Oreochromis niloticus: one gene and its partner. Each later gene encodes a partner of the first gene's protein in a complex. Links are inferred from orthologs where the notes say so. Each region holds a gene or a part of one and is shown in the gene's direction. Other genes may lie near its edges.

What was found. The genes of interacting proteins can lie anywhere in the genome.
Region 2: the proteins of fga (region 1) and fgg are in contact, whole or in part, in a crystal structure (PDB 3GHG), measured with the Homo sapiens proteins. The link is inferred for Oreochromis niloticus from reciprocal best matches to the Homo sapiens genes FGA and FGG. Residues at the interface, in NP_000499.1 of Homo sapiens: Trp60, Asn61, Lys63, Cys64, Pro65, Ser66, Gly67, Met70, Leu73, Ile74, Val77, Asn78, Phe81, Arg84, Ile85, Leu88, Ser91, Tyr95, Asn98, Leu105, Ile109, Ile112, Asp116, Ser119, Arg123, Asp124, Tyr127, Val130, Ser131, Asp133; in NP_068656.2 of Homo sapiens: Thr47, Thr48, Cys49, Gly50, Ile51, Ala52, Asp53, Leu55, Tyr58, Gln59, Val62, Asp63, Leu66, Gln67, Leu69, Glu70, Leu73, Thr80, Ile87, Ile90, Gln91, Tyr94, Glu98, Asp106, Ala107, Ala108, Thr109, Leu110, Ser112, Arg113.

Annotation. Positions count from the first base shown.
Region 1 is NC_031967.2:50,326,308-50,333,774, reverse strand, and holds the start of fga (fibrinogen alpha chain), read left to right. Parts: upstream 1-4,544; 5' UTR 4,545-4,558; coding exon 4,559-4,609; intron 4,610-6,279; coding exon 6,280-6,381; intron 6,382-6,897; coding exon 6,898-7,081; intron 7,082-7,467. UniProt on the Homo sapiens protein: Cleaved by the protease thrombin to yield monomers which, together with fibrinogen beta (FGB) and fibrinogen gamma (FGG), polymerize to form an insoluble fibrin matrix. Fibrin has a major function in hemostasis as one of the primary components of blood clots.
Region 2 is NC_031971.2:14,055,031-14,062,711, reverse strand, and holds the start of fgg (fibrinogen gamma chain), read left to right. Parts: upstream 1-4,670; 5' UTR 4,671-4,768; coding exon 4,769-4,831; intron 4,832-4,917; coding exon 4,918-4,965; intron 4,966-5,078; coding exon 5,079-5,265; intron 5,266-5,386; coding exon 5,387-5,471; intron 5,472-5,910; coding exon 5,911-6,041; intron 6,042-6,334; coding exon 6,335-6,468; intron 6,469-6,661; coding exon 6,662-6,846; intron 6,847-7,019; coding exon 7,020-7,297; intron 7,298-7,396; coding exon 7,397-7,581; 3' UTR 7,582-7,681. UniProt on the Homo sapiens protein: Together with fibrinogen alpha (FGA) and fibrinogen beta (FGB), polymerizes to form an insoluble fibrin matrix. Has a major function in hemostasis as one of the primary components of blood clots.

The DNA of each region.
Region 1 (7,467 bases):
GGCGCATTTCTCGGCTTTAAAAAAAAACGCTATGCGTTGCCAGGTGTTTCATCGAATTTGAGATGTTACCTCCTTTGACAGTATCACAGTATCAGCTTAAAGCAGCGGTCCCCAACCCCCGGGCCTCGGACCGGTACCGGTCCGTGAGTCGTTTGGTACCGGGCCGCTAGAGTTGAGGCTCAGGTGTGAAATGTATGGTTTTCAGGGTTTTTATTGGTTTTCAGCGTTATTTTGTTATCGTTTTTATCGTTAACTCGGTTTTCCTGGGTCTTTTCACGTGTGTTATGAATAAATCTTCTTTTTTTTGGTACCGGCACTAGTTTTATTTTGTTGTATTTATCCGCGACACCTTATTGCCTGTCCGTGAAAATATTGTCGGGCATAAACCGGTCCGTGGCGCAAAAAAGGTTGGGGACCGCTGGCTTAAAGCACTTGTTGCAGGCTGCCGAGTTTGCATCTTTTGCTGTGAAGTACAGCCAGACTTTTGACCGTTTCGCCTTGGGCATTTTTAATCTGTAGCTCTGCTCTAAAAGAACGTACGTACCTGGCCCCGCCTACTATCCTCAGAAACGTAAAATGATTGGCTAGAATTGGCTCAGGAAAAAAAAAGCACCGAAATGTGCGCTGCTTTTCGGTCTGGTTATTACCGTTTATGTCAGAACCGGACACCGGTACCCATCCCTAATTACAAATAAATATCAAGAATATTGTCAGCAACATTACTGAGTAGAAAAGAGCGTGTGTAAAAAGGACGTAGCTATTGCAGTGTTTACAGTGTATTAGTTGGAGGAGTTGTACAGGGAGATGGCCACAGGCAGGAATGATTTCCTGTGTCGTTCAGTGGTGCTTACGGTGCGCACACACCGAACGCGATAGAGGCGGCCAGAGCGTCAGGTGTACATGTAAAGTCAATGGAAAGAGCGCGATGACACGCGATTGCGCATCCGGCGAACATGCGGAAGCAGATTTGCGTCGCGAAAACGCCAAAACCCGTGAAACGCGCGTCAGTGTACCGCGTGGGGCGCGTTTGACTCGCGAAGAAAACCACGCGTGTCAGATTGTGTGCTGCATTTTGTGCACACGCCCATACCGCGCCAACCGCTGGAGTTGGAAAATATGAACTCCGGCGTCAAATCGCGCCCCGACAACCAATCAGGAGGCCGGTGACGTGGCTGTAACCAGGTCACAGGGGCAGATCAAACCAAAGCTCTTCATTCTTCATTCCGTATGGAGGAAAAACTCATCACTGCCGTGGCTAATCACCCAGAGCTGTATGATGCCAGCTGCTACTTCTACCGAGACAGGAATAAAAAGGACCGAGCTTGGAGGCACAGAAGTGAGGAGATCGGGCAACCTGGTAAGTTCATTCATTCTCCTTTTTAATTTTCAGACTGACCCGATAAAGCCGCGCAAAAGCTAGCAAGCCCGCCTACTGTCCCGCTATTTTCCCACTGATGTACAAATACCTTTCCGCTAACAAGATAATGTGTTTATTCAGAGGACATCTGCAGCACAACACATCTGGCACAACTTCCTCCCACATTTCCGGTCCACGCGCGTGGAAAGATGCAATTTTGAGGCGCGATGGGTTTTTCTTGGACACGCGTTGAGGTGCGAATGTGCACGCGTCAAATTAGGGGCGTTTAGGGCGTTTTCGCTCGCCTCTATCGCGTTCGGTGTGAACGCAGCCAAGTCTCTCACTGAACGTGCTCCTGTGACTGACCAGCATGTCATGTCATGGAGTGGGTGGGAGGAATTATCCAACATTGTCTTTATCTTGGACAACATCCGCCTCTCCGACACCACCTTAAGGGAATCCAGCTCCATCCCCACAACATTACTGTATCGCTTTGTTTTTGATTTGATAAATATTGATGTTCCTTATATTTGGTGTTAATGTGCAGCGCTTTGGTCAGGCTGGTTGTTGTTTTTAAAAGCGCTTTATAACTAAGCCAAGAGTGAATATAAAAAAAAATGTGGGCCGCTAAAGACATTGGGGGAATGGCCCTCCCAAATGTGAAGTTGTATAATTTAGCTTTTGAAATGTCAAGACTGGCCAAGCACTGGACAGGTTCGGACTCTGAGCTGAGCTGGATGAAGATTGAACAGGAACTAGTGAGCCCTTTTACACCCTTGGATGTTCTCTCACAGGGCTCAGCAATTAATGGACAAGACTTTCATAATAACCCAGTGCTCGGGTATTCTAAAGCTGTCTGGGTAGAGGTGCACAAGATGTGTGGAGCCTCTTATTTAAGACAACCTTATACCTCGCTATGGAACAACACTGCTGTACAGATTGGGAGAAAAATGGTGTTCTGGAAGGAATGGCTTGTCAAAGGCATACACAGGATAAGTGATCTTTACTCAGGGGGAGTGTTTATGTCATTCGCTGAAATAACCCAAAAATATGGTTTGATAGGAGAAAATAATTTTTGGAAATATTTACAAATAAGGGATTGTATTACCAAAGGAAAATTTACTCAAAGCACAAATATGGTGGTGGAGTTTTTAGAATTGTCCAGTACAGCACATAGAGCAGCTGTTTTCTACAAACTGTTTAACAATCTAAAAAAAGAGATATGTGAAAACTTGAGGATTATATGGCAGAGAGATTTGAGTTGTGCAATTTCTAAAGAAGATTGGTGTAGAATTTTGTCATTCTCTGATAAATATATAAGAGAGGCCAGGGGTAAATTTACTCAGTACAAATTAATACACAGATGGTACTTCACTCCGTCCAAACTTTATAGAATGGGAATCAGTCCCAGTAATATATGCTGGAAATGTAGTTCAGATCCAGGGACATTTATGCATGCTATTTGGGAATGTGGGAAAGTTTATCCCTTCTGGCAAAAAGTATTGGACAAAATAGGAAGGTGGATTGGTTTAATAATACCCTTGTCACCAAGACTGTGCTTATTAGGGGATCGGTCGGCGTTGCCTGGGGTTTCAAAATATGACTTTGTGGTTATAAAGGTGGGGGTAATTGCAGCGGCCCAAGTTATTCTCAGTGTATGGAAGGAGCCATCTCCTCCAGAATATAATAGGTGGAAAGAAAATATGCTGAAAATGGTGTCGTATGAAAAATTCTTGGCTAGGATTAATGATGATAGGGAGGGTTTTGACAAATCATGGGGACGTGTTTTTGGCTGAGATGGTTGAAATTTATTTGGTCAGGACAATTATCTTTAGTTAAATTTTATGCTTGCTATGTTGTATGTTTGTGTAGGCACTCAGTAACGGAATAACTTAAGAATTTGATTGTATTGTCCTTTTTTTGTGTGTGTACTGATCCCAACCATGGGATTGGAAGCTGTCTTTTTTTTTTTTTTTCCTGTTGTTGTTTGGTTTGTTGTTTTGTTTTTGTTTGTATGTGGTTAAAGGTTAAAAACAAATAAAGACTTTAATTACAAAAAAAAAGCGCTTTATAACTAAAGTAGTATCCTATGGTACAAATAGATTTGTGCTTCAGTTCTGGTGATTGAAATTCCCAAAGTTTTATTTTGTGATGCTAAGCACTAATTAGCTGATATGCATCTCTGCATTTGACCTGTTCAGTTCATAAGTAGCAAGCTGCTAACTTAGCACTCCACACTTTTATCCAGAAAACATAACGTCTGGGTCTTAAAATCCAACATGGGTGCAGCCAGAAGCCTCATGTTGACGTGTAAAAGCAATGGTGGCTACATCCACTCAAGTTTCATAGTGTGAATGCCAACAAAGGAGCAGCATATACACATTTAAAAGAATGGACTTTTAAGATCTGGAGACACCAACCATTTTTAATATAAAGTCTTTGGTGACAAAGTATTTATGATTAGATTGATTTTATATACATTTACCTAATGGTTTACCTTAGAAAGAGAATAAAAATATGAAGCTTTAGCTAAGCGGCTTATACACGTACACCTTAACTTGAGAAGCTAAATCATTATTGTTATTTAAAAATTGTTATACATTTTATCATTGCATTGTTTTTTACCTGTATGTAGTTAACTTTTTTATTCTCTGGTGTTTTTTTGTGAAGCATTTTGTTATCTTTGTATTGAAAGGTAAATAAATGACATTTTACTGACGCATGTAATAATAATACAGAGAGATTCATTTATATTTTAACAAAACCCACGGTAATGCTGTAAAATGGGAGTAAATAGAAACTCTGTTCCATCATTTTAAAATCCTCTAATGTTTTTGTTGCCCTTTTCTGATTGAGTTCAGTTGAGTCAATGTTAGTGTCGTTGGTGTTTGTCACTATTTGGTTGGTGTAAAATGTACAGGAACTGACAAGAAATCCTGCTGCAACTGAACTGAGTAGGCAGCATGTTTGACTTTAGTGTGTGTGTTTGAATGCATTATTTTTGAGTAAAGATACACACAGTACAACAAACACATCGATTAGAAGCTGTTGCTCAACTCTGATCTGACCTGACCAGTGTTTGCTGATGACTCACCGGTTTGTGAAATTGAACCTGGAGGCTTCAAATGATCAGAGAGCAGCGTTAGAAAATCATTCAGCAACAACTCTTCACACAGAGAGCGAGTGACAGAAACGGCAACGATGGAGCGACTCTGTTTCCTTTTGTGTCTGATATGTGTGTCCTCAACACTGGTGAGTTTCTCTGATGTTTTTAAATAATTTTACAAAGATGTGGCACTGAAATTTTTTTTTTTTTTGTCATTTTAGTGTATGTACTGTGTTGTTTAATAAATAACAAGAATAATTATGTATTTACTGATCACTCATATGTTTATTATTTACTGATATGAATACATGAACATAGCATTTGGCTGTTCTATTTATAAAGATGTCGAGCGCACTGTCTTATTCATTATTTACTCTTTTATTTTACTACCTAAGTTTATTAGATATATTTCTGGTAATTATTATTATTATTATTATTGTTGATTTATATGAATATAGTAACAAAAGATTTAGAAGTTGTGGACGTTGGCTTGAGTAGAATGCTGAATACTGATCAATCAAAGAAACAGTCACTATCTTTAGCTGTTTTAACAATTCAAATAAAGGATGTGTAACTTAGCAGACCTAACAAAACAGAGCTTCATTTATACTTACAGTTTTTATATATATATTATTTAAAGCCAGTTAGTTAAATACTGCAGACTGATTAACTACTACTGACCTAAAAATTTTTGTATGTAATATTTAACCTCCTAAGACCCGAACTTTTCCACAGCATGCATTTTTAATTTCTCTTTGATATTTGAGCATATTGGGGCCCGATGAATGTAAAAACAAAGAATTACCAAAATGAAAAATGAGAGCCACATATGAGGATATTCATTTAAAATTTCGATAGAACAGTAGCAGCATAATGTCCTCGTAAGTGAATATCAGGCCCTTGTAGAGCAAAATTGAGTATTTTGGTCTAAATAACCCAAAATGTGATGTCCACATATGTGGACGCCAGGTAAATGGACTGATTCTTAAATAACGCTTTTCTACTCTCCCGGAGTACTCAAAGCGCTCTATACAACATGCCTCATTCACCCATTCATACAAGCACTTCTAAACACAAGTGCAACTAATAAGCATTCACACACATTCACACTCCGATGAACGCATCTTGGGGTTAGTATCTTTTCAAGGATATTTGGCATGCAGACTGAGGCAGCCAGGAATCAAACCACCAACCTTCCAATCAGTAGTTTATCTGCTCTACCACCTGAGCCACAGCCACCCCAGGGTCCTAGGAGGATGATAAGAAAAATAATTATGTACTAATAACAGTATAAAATTGAGTACATTTCAAAATAAATTTGCAATAAATAAATTTGAAAAGTATTTCTGCTTATATAATTATTGTAATTGTGTATTTTACTTTATAAATATTATTAATAAAATCTTTATTTGTGGGTAAGAAGCAAACAATTTAAGTATTTTTAGTCACTAGTATTATTCCAAAGAAACACCTCCTAATTTGAGCAGTTCAGTTGAAATTGGTTATACGTGTTATAATGTACATGTTTGATGTGCAGCATCTGTTTTTAAGATTTTTAGTTAGATTTATCAAAGAAGTTCAGTATGTATCACCAAGCCTTTAACCAGGGTTTTGTTTAAGTAGGGTTTCATTGTAAAAGTCATTGTTGTAGACCAAATGGACTAAAATAGCGGCTCTGTCACAAAGACTCTTTGTTTGCAACTATATGTGCATAGTCACCCCTCAAAAATACATTGTACACCACGAACAACCCAGAGACAATAGCTATGTTTTCTGCCCTAACTAAAACAATGTTGACTTTCTTGTCTTCGTCTAGGCCCAGATTGATCCCAGGGGAGGTCGTCCAGTGGAGCACGGCACCAGAAGTGAAAAATGTGCCACTGAGAAGGAATGGCCTTTCTGCACAGACGTTGAATGGGTATGCAGATTCCCTGTTGTCTCTCAGAGCTCAAGCTAGGCAAAGTTCTTATTGACCTCAATGAATGTGTGCAATTTTAAGATTCAATGTTTACAAGAAAGCTGGACTGGGGAAATTCCAGTTTCTGTCAGTGCAAAAGTCTAACTATGTACTTAATCGATAAGATTTCAAAATTATGTCTTAGTGTTTATATATGGTAAAGAGATGCTGCTATAACAAGTGAAGGAAATCTGTCAGCACGAGCCGATTGCAAGAATTAATGCTTAAAATGACAGAAATCTATAATAACTGGTATATTGTGAATGACCATGAGGGAGGTCTTTATGGGTAGGAAAAACTGTTAAACTTGTGAAAATACACTACAGAATGTACAATCCGGGCCAGACTGGAGCTTTTGTGCCTCTGGTTGTACTGCCAATTATTATAATAACCTGTTGTTCTGTATTTAAATGACTCTGATTTTTATGTGACACAGAAATAAGGAATAATTATGTCTTCTCTTTGGTCATCCATTAGGGCCCTAAATGTCCATCAGGCTGCAGGATCCAGGGTCTGATGGAGAAATACGATCACAATATGCTGAAGAAGATTGAGAAAATCCGCAGCCTGCTGGATCAAAACAAGGCCAAACATCGCTCCGCTGATACGGTGTCGAAACAGACCTACGACTACTTGAAAGAAAAGCTAACCACTGACGCTGGTTAGTGTGGCTTTGTGCACTTCTTCTGTTTCCCAGTCAAGAGTTTAATGGTTACAGGAACCCAGTCTAGGTGGTTATAGGATACCTGGAAGTTGTTTCACAGTTAAATAAATATCTGCATAAACTGATCAAAAGTGCAACCCTAACAAGCAGCTTTAAAGGTGTATCCAGTCATATTTAAAAGATATTTAATAGAAAGAAATGGGACATGGGAGTGCGCACCAGTTTGTGGAAGCCATCATGTTGTTTTATTCCCAGTATTATCTCAATTATTTATATCCAGCAGAACCCTCCCATCTCTGGACAGCTGAAAAAATGTGTTTAAACAAAAGTAAGAATCAGTCCATCCATTTATTAAACTAAATGTTTCCTGTTTTCTTCTACTA
Region 2 (7,681 bases), on another chromosome or scaffold:
TCAGGGCAGCAGTGGTTGTTAGCAATAGCGTAGAAAACATTAAAGAATGCGGTTGTTAATATCCTCTATCTTTCTATGCATCATCCAACAATCTCATGAATAAAAGCAGAGATTTGGCTCTTAGCTGGAGGTTATTTCTCTGTGTAGCTGACATCTAATGTCGAAAACACATCAACAGGCAACATGTAGCACGCACAGCTGTGAATTCACCTGTGGATGGATGATAATGAAGAAGAAGCCACTTTCAGCTGCTCCCCACAGTGGGTAACTCCAAATTTTTGATTTTGTAGAGTTTTACACCAGAGGCTCTTTCTGACACAATCCCAAAAGGGATTTGTGTCTCCAGCTGGAACCAGCGACCTTTTGCTTGCCAAGTAAATGCGTAACCCACAACAATACTCTAGATGAAGTAATGTTTCATAAAAACTGCTACCTGGTCCAGTTTTAAGGGAATCATGAGTAATGTTAAGCTATCATTCAGGACTTTGTGTCTAATGAGTGCGAGGGCCACAAACAGTGCACAGAAGATTGTTATTGTTATGCATTCCACAAAGGTTTGATCTGATGCATTTCTTATTAACACATGAATGCGTATATACAGCAGACAAACACAGGTAGTTGCATTATTAACATAAAAAGTTTACTTCCACAAAAACACACCAGCAGAACCAAATAAAGTCTGTGTGAATTACGCTGACTGCAAATCTGCTACATTTCCTGATATTAGAAGAATTACTGATGATGATAATGTACTTTTTACACATTAGTTTGTGATATGTGGACAACAAAGTGTCAGTGTCCCCGCATGTGTTACTGCAGATCACACCACCTTCAGCTGAGGCGACTTAACCGCGCGCGGCCGCAGGTTGAACCCGAATGTGGCCAAACCGCAAACCTTTGCCCTCCATCCTGGGGAGATTTACGCCACGGTCAAACAGCTCCAGAATTATAGTTGTGACCGCTGAAGCATCCAAACAAGGCTCTTTAAATTTAATTCCTGGTCAGACGACCTGTGAACTATGCTGACTTTGTTTTTCAGCTTTGGTGCTTAAGTTGATTACTGACAGAAGGACGTATTTTCTTAAGATGTGGAATGTGAATGTTTTCATTTTAAAGAAAACTGCATTTATTCTGCATAATATTCTTTGGACCTATTTCCAGAGTATGCACAGTCTTTATAAAGAAAACTAAAAACTTGCTTTTTTTGGTTGCTTTGCATCCTGATAACGTGCGACAGTGTAAGAATGTCAGTCGGGCATGAGTGTGTGAACGCATCGACAACAGCCCAAAACACATCTAAACATCCTGAACCCGGTGTTTAGAGAGCGTGCTCGTGTCTTCATGGCACTTAAAGAAAGAAAGAGGCACTTTCCATCTGGTGTCGCTAGAAAGTTCAGCAAAAGTTCAACACTGTTTAGGTTCATGGGCCTGGCAGTTCATTCTCAGGTCAGCGAGGCTTTATATCCATCCTGGGCCTGTTTTTTTCCACATAATAAAACCTGGTCACACAAAGGTAGTCAAGGTTTATCATTTAATGTCAACATGGGGCCCACAGATCAACCATTATTAAGCTATATTAAGTCACATGTATCTTTAGTGTTTGTTCTGTTGTAATAAAAAGAGGTGTGTTTGCTCACAGCACCTTGAAGAGATGGCCACGGAAAAACAATTTTCAGCAGCTACACCTATTTAAAACTACACAGCATCTTTGGAAGGATCTGTTTACTTACTCGTGTCTGCTTATTTGATTTTTCCACCATACTCTGAAATTATAGCAGTGAAGTCTGCAAACAATTTGACAGTAGAAATAAAAGTCAGTTCATTCATAAAAAGACAGTAGAGGCACTTTCAAACTCATCTGCCTCATGAGAGCATGTTTCCTGTAACTGTGACTCAAACAAGCAGAGCAGCATGAAACTGGAGCCTTGTGATGAGCTGAATTGGTGCTTTTACTGGGCACACACAAAATTGCATTAGTGCATGCATTTTTACCTGTAGTTTAGTTTAATATTAACTGTATTGTCTCGCTCTCTGTTAGTGGGGGTTAGCTTAACCCTCCATGGTATGATCCATGATCCATCCAACTGATCCTTAAAATTTCATTTCATCTTTTTTAATTTAATGGCACAAGACTATTCAGTAAAATGAGGCACAGAAGAGAGTTTGACCTTTGACCCAGGGATGAAGAGATCCTTCCGGGAGCCAAATCCGGATTGGACGTAATGCCAGCTGCTTTTAAGACTAGTGTCTCCTTTATCTCTTTAAATTGAAATAAACATATTAAAAATATGCATGTACAGAAATATATATTTTTTTAAATGTTAAAGTATTTAAAGAAGTAAGACACACTTTGATTTAACTTATTTACCAAAACAGCATTGTTGTAGGTCATTTTCTACAACATTATGCAGTTACATTACAATAATGTTTTGTTTCTAAACTCTGGTCCTTGGAACTGCTTGTTTTAGGTGTTTAGGTGCTTCTATGCCCCCACAGCACTTGATTTAAGTGATTTAATACCCACCTGATCATTTGACGTGTATGAGCAGGGATTACAGTCACGTTCCCAGAGCATTGTGTAATGGCATATATAAGCTGGCAGCATGAACTTGTAGAGAAATGGGTAGAGGATATTAGCTAATTTGATGATTGCTTTGTCAACAGGGAACCCCAAGGGTGAAATTCATGTGATAGAGTAGTATAAAGGCTAGTATAAAATTCCTCATGATGTATGCATGTATCAGTATGTGTATTTTTATGTATGCAGTAGTTAGCAAGAAGGCTTGGGGCTCAAATGCACTGGATTCATGCTTCACTAACTCAGTTAGCTGTTATTTCCCAACACCATAATAAAGGTCAAAAGCCCTCTGGGCCTGTGGACACTGTGGAGTAAAGCTGAATATGTGTTCATGTATTGTCTTATGGGTATTAAACAACTAAGTACTATTGATAAATACAATAAAAGTTCCCTCAGAAACACAGAAGACACGGAAGTCATAGAATCATCTAGAAAATTACATGTGCATTCATGATGAGATTACTTCAGATGGACTGAATAGGACTATATGTCCCTCTAAAATAAAGCAACTTTATAAAATGTTTTATAATGCATTCATCTACAACAAAGCTGTTGTTATTTACATTGACTTGTCCATGAAATTGAAATTAGCCCCTGACAAAGAGTGCTCCAGTTACTCATTAATCATATCTGAGTTTTCTTTGACCACACGCCACAGTTTGGGGTTTTTTCTTTGCTCTTTCATGTTGGTCTGTATTTGCTTCAGTTCAGCTCCAGCTCAGTCAACAATAACGCAGCAGCACATGTGCTCCTTATAAATTAAGCCTGTAACTTAGCTGCTTTGTTTTCCTAGAAAAGTAGATTTTTCCTGCAGAATTAAGGAAGAGGATCGTTAGTGTTCCCCTGCATACATACAGACTGCAAAGTCCACAGGGATTATTCCACTATGATTCTTTCCAACAGCATTTTGTTCACAGACACTTTGTAACAGAAACTTGTTTTCATGAAACTTCAGTAAGGCAAAGCTTACTTCAGTGCTGTCTAATGTAGCTTATTTTCAAAGATTTAGATAGTTCAGAAAATTGTGTTATTGTTGTGTCCCAAGTTTTCTGTTCTTGCTCAGCAACAACAAAAAAATAACCGTTTAAAAGTCAGTTCACTGCATCAGACTGAATCCTGCTAAAGTCTTCAGTTTGTTGGTGTGTTTGGTGTCCTGTATGTGTCTTGTGGGGTCTATTGTGATTCCACTCCCACTAGTGGTTGGTTTTACATGCCTGTGCAGTCAACTTTCAAAATAAAAGTTTCAAAGTATCACAGCCTGCCCTGTTACACTAAAACAGTTTGTCTAGTAAACATATTTTAGCGACATTATAAAGCCTGGTGGATTCACTACAGAAAGGTTTTAAAGCTGTTTGCATTCAGTGATGGCTTTACAAGCAGGCTGCGCGATGTAGTTATGATGAAGGCATTTCCTGCTTTATACCATGACCGTATCATCACATGTCAGAAACCACAGATAACTACTTTGCTAGGGTTAGGGGACCCTTGTTAGGATAGTAAAGAATAGTAATAATTTTAGCCGGCTGACTGAGAATCAAAGTCATCATTAAATAAAATTACTGTTGTCGGGAGAAAAGTCTCATTCAGGCAAGTCTGAATTAAGCAAGCCAAAGTCAGTAATCATCATAATGATTTATTAATGTGTGCTGTTAATAATTGTAATTGTTCATCAGTCTAAAATATAAAAACAATGTGTTTAATCCTGTTTTTGTTCACAGGAACATATTATGGCATTTTTTCAAGGAATGCTTGTTGTCTGTGTTTTATCAAGCAAAGTTTAAGAAAAGTAAATAAACTATGTTACAATCTGAACTCTTGGCTAGAGCGAGCTCAATTGCGCTGGTTTCCAAATTCAATAATACTGTCAGGTCTTAAAGTGCGAGTCACGATTTCTTCCAACTTGTTGACAGCTTTACCATCATCAGAGTTTACAAAGACGTACAGTACATGGCAATCTCATAGAAGTGTCCTTTACCACAGCTATCAGTTGCAGACCGCATCAACTCCTGGCAATGATGTCTGTTGGACATTTGAGTCATGGGATTTTCACAACAAAGTGAGTGGGATTGTTTACCTATGAACCCCTTATCAAAGTCTGGACTGAGGACCTTGTTCAGATAAATAACCAACAGAGTCGAGCTTCTCTTCATTCTCCAACAAGACGAAAACACAACTGGCGGCCAAAGCAACATGGCTCCATCACTTCTTACAACAGCAGGAGGACTTTTGTTACTTTTCTCCTTCTCGTCAGCAGTAAGTCACTGAGCACTCTTGCAGTTTTGCTGATGTAGTTTTATTGAGCATAAAAATTATATTTATTGTTCCTTTTTTTTGTGCAGCAAATCCGAGGAGACAACATACAAGAATGCACCCCCAATGATGGCTTTGTAAGTGCGCAACTTTAAATCAAAGCTTCTTCCAGTATGGATTCTATTATTATAAAAGCACACCATCATAAAGAGTTTTGTTTGTTTTGTTGACATGCTCCATCTGTGTTTAGGGAAAATACTGTCCAACCACATGTGGAGTTGCTGATTACATGCAAAGATATACAGAAATGGTGGACCACGATTTGGACCAGTTGCTAAGGGAACTGGAAACAATTGCCAATTTGACTCGAGGGGCTGAAGAAACAATTACTTACATGAAAGATACAACTGTGGCACATCAAAAGAGCTCTGACCCAGGTAACGCAGTTATTTTGTGACGTTTAATCATCTTAACACTTACATTAATGCGATCAGGTTGAACAGCATATTGATGCGAAATCGAGAATACAGTCAAACCGGCTCATTTTTTCCATTTCAGACGTGCATTTCAAAAAGTCAACAAGTATCCTGGATGATGTTGTTCGGTTTGAGAAGACCATAATTGCTCAAGAACAGCAAATATTGTAAGTTACCTTACCAAAAGTTCAATGCATACTCTTACAACAGTTAGTTACTCCACTGCATTTAGTTACAATGCTCGTTTGTTGATTGATTTTTTTAAATCAACGACATATAAATTATTCTTTTTTTAATATAATGTGTTGTTGCTGAATAAACATGAACTTCTGTCAGGTTCTCAATGTGAAGATGCAAAACACAAAACTCTAAAGGAAGCTTGAAACTGAATTTCTATACATAGCAGCATCAGTGTCCACCTATTCCCACAGTTCAGTGTACTCAGGAGACATTTGTTACCCACACTACGTCCCTAAAAATCTATTGACCTTATACGTTAAATTAGATCTTTGTATAAGTTCAGGTTCATACTTAGGATTCATCTCAGCTTTTTATCTGTGTATAAAACCAAGGTACAGCTCATAGACTGTAATCCTCTCTTTCCAGTGAACTTCAGAACGTAATCTCCTCCAATGAGAGAAGAATGGCAGACTTGAAACAGCTCTCGAATCAGCTGCAGCAGAAATGCAATGAGCCCTGCAGAGACACAGTTGAGATCCAACCCACCACAGGAACAGGTAAAAAAAGAAGAAGAAGAAGAAATAATATGACCTCTAGGTTATTTCTGTTTCACAAGAAGTTTCTCAATCTTGTCTCATCTGAACAACATTTGTTGTCTTTCAGCATTTAGTCACAGGCTAAAATCAATATGCTGCTTCAGAGCAGAGCAAACATTTATCCTAGATGTAATGTCCTGTGACCTTTTGTAGTGGATGTGATTACATAATTATTTACCCAACTTAGAAAATATTCCGGTTTTTGTGTTTCATAATAGGCTGCTCATTTTTAAAAAATATGTTTTTCTAATCAGACTGCCAGGACGTTGCAAACAAGGGCGCCACCACCAGCGGTCTTTACTATGTGAAGCCATTAAAATCAACGGAGCAGTTCCTGGTCTATTGTGAGATTGACAGCTTTGGACGTGGCTTCACAGTAATACAAAGAGTACGTATCATTGATCTTACACTTAGTGATTCCTGTGTATTTTATCTATTTTAATTAATCTTTACATTTATGTAAAATTAAATATTCACTACAATTTTCATTAAGTCATGAAGGCATTAAATCATGTTTTGTTAACTAAGTGGTGAAACCACCCAATAAACTGATGACTCTGATCACGCCTTCCTGCCTACAGAGACGTGATGGCAGTCTGGACTTCCACAAGAACTGGGTCCAGTACAAGGAGGGCTTCGGTTATCTCTCACCAGATGACACCACAGAGTTCTGGTTAGGTAACGAGAAGATTCACGCGCTCACTACCAGCACCAACTTCCCCACTGTGCTCAGGATAGAGCTTGTTGACTGGGAGGGCAACAAAAGGTACACACACACACACACATGATAACAGATTATGTAAGAAAGGGACTTGTGGACAAGGCAAACATGACCGCTCTAGTAGCGAGGTTACCTTAGAGGAAGAAAAGAGATGATTCAACAGTTGTTACCACAAACTAACTTTAGATCCACGATTCTCTGTGGCCGTATTTCTCCAGGTATGCCGACTATAACATGTTCAGAGTGGGGCCAGAGATCGACATGTACCGGATGACCTATGGTTTCTACTTCGGTGGAGATGCAGGAGATGCATTTGATGGTTTTGACTTTGGAGATGACCCCAGCGACAAGTTCTACACAGCACACAACGGCATGCAGTTCAGCACCTTTGACAAGGACAACGACAAGTACGACGGCAACTGTGCTCAGCAGGACGGCTCTGGGTGGTGGATGAACAGATGTCATGCTGCACATTTGAATGGAAAATACTACCAGGGTAAGACCCTCCTGGCTAAAAGCAGCCACAGTTAGCATAAACAGAGACAAAAGTACTAATTAATGTGAGCTCTAAACTGTTTGCATTATCTTTATGCAGGTGGCAGGTACACTGAAAAGGATGCTGGTGAATTTGGCTTCGACAACGGCATCATTTGGGTCACGTGGCACAACCGCTGGTACTCCCTGAAAGAGACCACCATGAAGCTCATTCCCCTCAGTCGCATCACAGCAGGAGGACAGCAGGCTGGAGTCAAACAGTTTGGTGGACTTGGAGACGCTTAAAAAAAGGGACCAGGTTTTTGTTATGCTCTCACTAACAGCCCTGAAAACTCCTTAGATTAAATAAAATGCCTCCATGGAAACTTACTGACTTTTTGTTTTT